Nothobranchius furzeri: one gene and its partner. The protein of the gene in region 1 purifies or fractionates together with the protein of each later gene. This does not show direct contact. Links are inferred from orthologs where the notes say so. Each region holds a gene or a part of one and is shown on either strand. Other genes may lie near its edges. The genes, in order: hspbp1 and edrf1.

Region 1 (4,511 bases):
TTCGCCGACTCAAAGGCACAGCACACTACAAACCAAAGAGAATCCAACACCTAAAAACTCTGAAATCCAAACATCGAACATGTTAGGGAGAGCAGCGTATGGATACAGACCAGTCTGAATGAGCTGTGCAGGAGGCTTGGCGAAGAAAGCTGAAAGGCTGCGAAGAAATGATGACGTGATTAAAATGGCAACAATCATTCAGGAAATATTTTAGAAGAACATCTCTAGCTTTTATTTTGACACAGCTGTTTCACTCTTGTAATAAACATACAACCAGGTTGGAGACACTTTTTTAACCTAATGAGCCCTACACACCTTTACTTTCAGACACTAATAAATAATAATCTGCTGATTAGAATCAGGTGCACTGGAACAGAGAAACCTCTACTACATGTTGGCCCCTGATGACCAGTACTGGACATCTTTTTTTTTTTCAATTTACACAATAGCATGTCTTCATGTTTGTTCCTACGTGATAAACTTCCTAAACATGTACATAAAGCTATCTTAACCTTCTCTATCAGGCTCGTCTATGCTCATTTCAACTATAATAACGTTTCTGCCTGCAGCAGCTAACATTTAACTCAGGCTAATGGGAACAACTACATGTGATAACTATAGCAAGGTGTTTTTCCCGGCACAATGTAGAGATTAGTTTAGTATAATGTTGATTATCAGGATATAATCAGGGTTAACCATAAAGTCGTCTTTTGTCAAGTCTTCATCCGCATTAGCTGTCGTTAGCTAAACCTCACTGGTAACGTGACCTTGCTCTGCTATCAGACGCGAGAGCATCATCTCCATTGTTCCATTTCTTCAAGCCTTAATAGCTTAATATACAATTCACAAATGAATGATGATACTGAGGCTCCATGAGCGCGCACAGAGGCATAAATAATCACTTAGAAGCAAGACATGAAGTGTTTTACCAGAGAAACATGCACGCAGTCCCATAAGCGCCGCCATCTTGGATGATAAGACAAACCAAGATGATAAAAGTATCAAGAGAGTTCCCTGACTAGCACAAAAAAATTGTCGTCAGCCCCTAATCACATAAATAATAATTATTGTATATTTGTTTTTAAAATCATACTTGTTATTTACGAATATACATTACATGACAGTAATCAGTGAATGAAAAATATTGGAACATATTACAAATACGCTTGTTGGATTAGTTTTCATTTGGTATGCAGAAAATGTTTAAATGTTATAATTTTACAACATGTTTAATATAAAACAAGTGCTTTGGACGTTTTATCTATTTATTCATTCATTTTAGAAATTCATGTAAGAATGAAAACTACTTTTCTTCTCTTGAAAGCTAGGAAATTCCTTTTTAATTATGACTGATACTCTTTGTCAGAAACGTAGCAAGGCGTTGCTATTTTACCGTAATCACTTTAATAGAATGAAGCTTTCGAAAATAAAAAAATCTCCATTTCATCTTTTGAGTTGAACTGTTGCATGAATATAAAACTCTAATAATCTGAGTTAAATGTTGAAATTTATGTAAAGATGAGACCACTAAAATAACTGAAGAGAATTTTAAACACATTTCTACTGCTCGTTGCGTACATGTTTTATGATTAAGATGGCGGTTGACTCATGTTGCTCGAGAGATCAACTACTAGCCAGAATGTTCTAGCCCTTTCGTGGTTAATAGTTATAATCGGCTGTGGGCTCTCAGAGAAACATTGTAGGTTTAAATACTCTCACGGAATCTGAGGACACTTCAACAGTAAGTAATTTTATTCAGAAAAATATCCGTTTTGAGTCTGTAGACAGTTGTACTCAGATAATGCGTGTAGTCCACCATCCCTACACAGCTAAAAGCTACAGTCTCATGGAATAGCCTGATAATTTTAATAAAAAGAGCTCAACAGTAATGGGGTTGAGCTGCTTCTGGGTTACTGCTTACTAGTTATACAGGGAATGTCTAATATTAACGTCACAGCTTGTATAATCTTGTCTTTCTGACATTTCTTTTATGTGTCCAGTTGTTTAGGTCATGTCAGATAACAGACAGAACAGGAGGTACCCCCAGAGCCTTCAGGGGGTTCTGCAACTGGCAGTAGATGCTGGATCAGCTGCAGAGGGTCCTGCTCCTTTAGAGCCCATGTCAGAGGAGGTAAGAGCCTGTGGATTAGGGCACCTCAATCCTGGTCCGCAAGGGTCCATATACAGCAGGTGTTGGCTATTTTTCAGCTCCAACACACCTGATCCATTGATTGAATCACCTGTTCATCATATCTTCAAGTTCATCAGAAGCCATTTTATTCAAACGGGTGTGTTGTTGGAGAGATGCAGTTAAGTGGTCCTCGAGGACCAGGATTGAACAGCACTGTCATAGGGCCATTAGGTTTTATTCTGGTGTCCTTAAGTGGGTGTGTTTATAAACACAATCGTACTGAATGTAGCTTTTGACACAAAAAAATTGAGTTGGAACAAGTTAACCCACCTGTCTTTGTTACAGAGAAAAACCTGGCTGAGAGAAGCTCTTTCAGAGATGTGCAAAGGCCAGCTGGATGAAGTGGAGCAGGTTAAACAGTGCTTGGTTGTCCTACACAGAGAGGAGCCAGATGAAAAGGAGCGAGATGAAGAAGATGATGACGATGAGCGGGAAGCAGCCTTTGAGATGTTGTCTGAGTTGTGTGAGAATTTGGACAATGCTAGAGGTTTGTTATGAGGAGTTGATTAATAGTGCTCAGATCTGAACAATATTCATGCTGATTTATTTCCAAGGATCTCTTTTTTTCTGCACTTCACAGACCTGATGGTTCTCGGAGGACTGGACTTGTGCGTCTCCAGGTATCTGTCTCATGTCCAGAGTGGGCTGAGGTGGCGGGCTGCCCAGCTCATTGCTTCCTGTGCTCAGAACATGCCGCAGGTGCAGGACCACTTACTTAAGATTGAAGTTCTGCCCAAGCTGCTCCAGTTGACAGATGCAGACCCAAACCCCACCGTCAGAGTAAAAGCTCTTTATGCTGTCTCCTGTGAGTTTAGAGACACAACTTCAAGAATAAATCTTCACTGATGCTCGGTGTGTTTGCTTTTTCCTCAGATCACACAGAACTAACATTTTCTGTGTTTCTCTGTAGGTCTGGTACGAGAGCAGGAGGCTGGTCTCCAGGAGTTTGCAGCTCATGATGGCTTCTCAGTTTTGATGAGAGGCATGCAGTCAGAAAACGAGAAGCTCAGGACCAAGTCTGCTTTCCTTCTGCTAAGCCTGTTGACCTCACATCCCGAACATAAAGGTATGAAGGCAAGAGAAGAAAATAATTTGTTCAGAACCACGCCATTTGTGAGCATCATGATTAATTACTGCGATCCGTGATATAAGAATGACATAAATGAGCTAAATCAACACCTGGTAAAAAGAAGAAACTGAGGTGCACTTGTTAGAGGGAGTGTTTGTTTTCATAGAGCAGGACTTAAAATCTATACAGGAACCAGCCACTAGGGGGCTGTCATCCCATTTTTAGCTTATTTTCCATGGTTCTGTTCTTATGTCATATGTTTGTAATATTGAGACCCCTCTTTATGACGATTTAAAGTAAAAAATATATGTTCTGAGTATATTTTAAACAGTAAATGATCTTGTTCCAGATGTTTCTTTCTCTATTTCCATTTTTGTGTGTTCCACCTGGGATTTTCTGAATCATGTTTGGTCTTTTACCAGAAACGGTTGTGTGTATGGGGATGGTGCAGCAGCTGGTGTCTGTTCTCCGCTCACCACACTCATCCTTTCATGAACATGTGCTGGGAGCTCTTTGCTGGTGAGAACCCTCTTCAGCAGCAGCTGTAGTGTTCTATCGTGGTTCTTGTTTTAATGTCCAGCCTTGTTTTTGTGTCTAGTTTGGTGCAAGATTTTCCACAAGGCCTCAAAGAGTGCAGAAATCCCACTCTGGCTCTAGAGGAATTACTCAAGCAGCGTGCCGAAGAACTCCAGGGAAAAGAAGAGAGTCAGGTAAATCAAGTGTTTTTTACCTGGGTTAAAGGTGGTAAAAATATTTGAATACTGTCATTTAGACCAAAGCAGGATGTAGTCTTTTACATACTAAAATATAATAACGACGGAAATTGTTTCATTTGCTGCACTCTGATGTCACACTTTTCTTCTCAACAGGAAGCGCTTGATTTCTGCGATCAGCTGAGAGTTTTGTGTTTCAGCGGGCAGCAATCGGACGATAATGGGATGGATCGCTAAAACAAATGTTATTTTTTTATTTTCACTCATGTTAGCATCAGAACAAAAAAGGTATCAGATCATTCATGAGCCAAATCATGAAAAAGGAGCAACATGTTTGTCTGTTTTGGGACTATTTTCTGTTTATTTTTTGCATGTAATCCAGGAGCTGCATTACACTGTAAATACTGTATAAAGTTACATTTCAAGACTTCCATGTTTGCTCTTTTAAAAGTTTCTTGTAAAAAGAAACATATTCTACATTAACCAGTATGGAGTTTGTACTTTTATTTTCCTGTTAACAGACATCCAGATGTTTATG
Region 2 (3,818 bases), about 19 Mb from region 1:
TAATGATACTTTTTATCAATTGGATATGTGAGACTTCCACCAACAGCAAAAGGATCTCATGTTTTTGTGGTAGGGTTGTCACGGTATGAAAATTTAACCTCACGGTTATTGTGACCAAAATTATCACGGTTTTCGGTATTATCGCGGTATTTTTTAAACGGTGTTGCATATGTTCAGAAAGCATTGATAGTCCTGTTCTACCCAAACTGAAATAGTTTTGAAAAGGTTTAACAGTGTTTATTAAACCTAAAATAACACAAAGCCTTAGCAAAAGTGCAACTTTTCACAAGTAAAGGAACAAATAGCTTCTTTTTCTGGAACATGTTACAGTAGTCAGTGCAGGTTTAAATTATACAAATCCAAACATTCAAAACATAAACAATATGAAAACAAATCAAAGAAACACCACTTGTTTTCTCATATACTTGTTTTCTTCATTATCAAAATGAAAATCTAAAACTCCAGTCCACACTTGACTTGAGCACTGTACAAGTCAACCTTAAAAAATATGTATTTAAAACAAATAGCCACTTTAAACAAATTACTAAAATAACTACTACACTATGTAATCAAATCCAAATGTTCAAGTATGAATGGCATTGAATAAGTAAACAAATCAATGACAAGGAACTAATTGTATATTTCTCTTCATCATCAACAAATAAGATGCTTCATCCAACAACAGGGTGTCCGTGACACGGTGTAAATGCTGGCAGAGGACGCTGCGGCTGCAGTATATAGTGACTCGTTGCATTCTCCCTCAGCCAAAAGTCCTCGCGTCATGCATTTAAGCTAAAATGCTAATGTCAACTTACCTTGCACTGGCTGTAGAGACGTGGGTGATGGTCATGCAGATGTGCCATTAGATTCGAAGTGTTGCTGCCTTTTGCAGACTCTTGTTTCCTGCACGTTCTGCAAACGGGATAGCCGTCTTCTATTAACTGTCCCTCAGCATTTTTCAGAAATCCCAAATATGCCCATACTTCCGATTGAGTCTTCTTTGAGGGCTGATGGATGTCCTGGGCGCTGCCGTCTCCTCCTTCGGCCATTATTTCAGCTTCAAAGTTTTGGTGCCGTTGCAAACTAAAAAGTGCGTGTGCGCGCCGCGGGAACTTCAGCTGAAGCGACGGTGGCTGGTAAGGGTCATCGCGCCAAAACCGCGGCCACGGTAAACCCACCGAGATAATATAGTTTTTTAAAAACTGGACGGTTATTTTTATTGTCAACTTTTTTACCGGGGTTTACCGCTATACCGGTTACCGTGACAACCCTATTTTGTGGTTTTTTTATGTTCACAAGCACATTCCCTCTCACGGATTACTAAACTGCTGTTTACACAAGTTGTCAGAGTGTCTAAAAAGAGGTCGTTTTTAGTTTAGTATAACTCCGCTTTTACGTTGCCTATTAACACAATTTAAAAACTGGGGTGTATTTATTATCTCCTTTTTAAATCTGGATTGAAACCGAAACTCAGGGAGGCGGAGTCTTGCTGCTACAGCGTCCCAAATCAGGCCTGTTCAAAAGACGCAGATACGCGTTCATGGACCTCAGAGGGTTAATAAAACACAATTCAGATCACACTGTTTTCTTAGGCCTATTACTAACACACATATGATTTTGTTCATGTGGAAAGTTTATGTGGTTAAATCCAACAACTACCGGTAAACACATTCTGAACTTCAACACAGCGCATCAGCGCTTGAAGCGGCGCTGCGACCCAAAAAGTACCGGAACCGCTCTCGGCGCATGCGCAATCCTGCATCAACACCGCTCGCCCTCCATTTCCCTAATAACACACGCTGTTCGTTTATTTTTCTACACATTTTTTTACTCACAAAGATTGTCAAGAAAGCGTGTTTGTCGTGTTCATGTCAAATTAACCTGATCACAAAACAGATTTACTTTCTTTATTTCGTTTTCCTCATCCAACCCCCATAAATCCTTGTGTGTCCTCCGGCAGCACTCCCGGTGTACGCCCGGCTTTAGTTGGAGGGAGACCCGCGATTATCGCTTTGTCGCGCATGTCTCATTGAAAATGAATGGAGGAGAGGCGAAGTTGCCTCCCGTGTGTCGAGCCCATTAGAAGAGTACGAGCCGTCAGCACACGCAATGAGGAAGTGCACGTGCGCTCTAAACCAGGTCTGAACCAGGGCTAGACAGTAAAGTGAAGCATGCTTTTGGCTGTTTATAATTTTCACAATGTCTGGTTTGCACTGACATGTTCCGTCCCGAGCCCGCACAGATGTTTTACCGGTATGTTTTACCGCGTTCGCGCCCTAAAATCCAATGTGCCTTATGTATGTGTTAAATACCAAAAAGACACCCGTAACTGAAGCTGCGCCCTATAACACGGTGCACCCTATGGTCGTGAAAATACAGTACTTCTCCATCTGCTCTCCTTTTTGTTTTTGTCCTCAGATGCTTATTGTTCCATTAGTGCAACGTTGCACTCACAAGTGCTGCAACTTCACAGCCAGTGCCTGTCGCTGTGTGGAGACATCCAGCTGATGTTGGCTCAGAATGTCAGCAACAGAGCTGCTTACCTGGAGGAATACAGCTATCAAACCAAAGAGGACCAGGAGATCCTGCACTGCCTGCACAGAGAGAGCAGCTGCCAGGGTCCGCCCCCATGTGCACTACCTTAGCCAAATCAGTTGCAGCACACACTTTCCAGAATGCTTAGAAAAGCACCAAGCTGTGTTTAATTAATGTTTGTTTCATTTTTCTGCTTGTTAGCTTTCAATATGGCAACGGACCTGGCTATGGATCCTGAATACCAGCTGTTTGTTAGCTGCAAATGCTACGAAGCGGCACACGAACTTCTGATCTCAGAGGACTCAAAAGATCAACCCTCAGATCAGCTTTCTCAGGTCCTCAAGAGACTCGGAAACATCCGCAACGAGATGGGCGTTTACTATATGAATCAGGCTGCAGCCATGCAGACGGAGAAAGAGGGTTTGTTCTCAGACATCATCATTTGGAGACTTTTAGTTATTTTGAGGGGAAAATTCCTAAAAAGTGACACTTTTCTCTGTGTGCTGAATTGCTAGTGAGAAGTTCCGTGTCTGCAGCAGAGCAGGAGCTGTGGAAGAAGAGTTTTGGCTTCTTTGAGAAAGGAATGAAGGACTTTGAGGCCATCGGAGACATCACCAACACGGCCTTACTGCTGTGTAACACAGGCCGGCTGATGAGGATCTGTGCTCAGGCCCACTGCGGAGCCTCTGCTGACGAGAGCAGAGGGGAGTTCTCACCGGAGGAGGCTCTGTACTACAATAAGGTTCAGATATCCTCTGTGGTTCTGCAGTTCTACTGATACCTGTTCTCACTTAGACTTTTTTCTTGAACTCCAGGCGATTGACTACTACTTGCGAGCTATGAAGTCTCTGTCCAGCAGAGAGAGTCACACAGCAGTGTGGGACAGTGTAAACTGGGAGTTGTCCACGACCTATTTCACTCTAGCTACACTTCTGCAGGACTACGCCCCACTGTCCAGGAAGGCTCAGGAGCAGGTGAGACTCAATATCCTTCAGTCGGCCATCTTTTTTCAGCAATTATGTACATTTTACTAATGTGTGCATTGACTTTTAGAGCTGTGAGCTAAGCTAGTGTCTGTGTGTCTGCAGATTGAGCGGGAGGTGACGGAGGCCATGATGAAGTCTCTTAAATACTGCGACCTGCAGACAGAGTCTGCCCGTCAGCTGCTGTACCAGTACAGAGCCGCCACCATCCACCACCGCTTAGCCTCCATGTATCACAGCTGCTTTCGTAATCAGGTGAGACTCGTTTAAAATATCCTCTCATCAGAATTCCTTCCAGCT

What was found.
Region 2: the proteins of hspbp1 (region 1) and edrf1 purify together in Homo sapiens (affinity purification with mass spectrometry; 3 studies listed by BioGRID and IntAct, counting the BioPlex papers as one, with this or other methods). This does not show direct contact. The link is inferred for Nothobranchius furzeri from reciprocal best matches to the Homo sapiens genes HSPBP1 and EDRF1.

The regions. Positions count from the first base shown.
Region 1 is NC_091752.1:51,237,894-51,242,404, forward strand, and holds the start of hspbp1 (hsp70-binding protein 1), read left to right. Parts: upstream 1-1,595; 5' UTR 1,596-1,741; intron 1,742-2,000; 5' UTR 2,001-2,011; coding exon 2,012-2,131; intron 2,132-2,476; coding exon 2,477-2,678; intron 2,679-2,771; coding exon 2,772-2,996; intron 2,997-3,101; coding exon 3,102-3,257; intron 3,258-3,682; coding exon 3,683-3,779; intron 3,780-3,858; coding exon 3,859-3,970; intron 3,971-4,129; coding exon 4,130-4,210; 3' UTR 4,211-4,511. Other genes in the region: tufm (elongation factor Tu, mitochondrial), read right to left, coding at 1-25, 111-157, 930-966. UniProt on the Homo sapiens protein: Inhibits HSPA1A chaperone activity by changing the conformation of the ATP-binding domain of HSPA1A and interfering with ATP binding. Interferes with ubiquitination mediated by STUB1 and inhibits chaperone-assisted degradation of immature CFTR.
Region 2 is NC_091752.1:32,218,533-32,222,350, forward strand, and holds part of edrf1 (erythroid differentiation-related factor 1), read left to right. Parts: intron 1-2,418; coding exon 2,419-2,619; intron 2,620-2,736; coding exon 2,737-2,955; intron 2,956-3,050; coding exon 3,051-3,277; intron 3,278-3,350; coding exon 3,351-3,509; intron 3,510-3,623; coding exon 3,624-3,773; intron 3,774-3,818. UniProt on the Homo sapiens protein: Transcription factor involved in erythroid differentiation. Involved in transcriptional activation of the globin gene.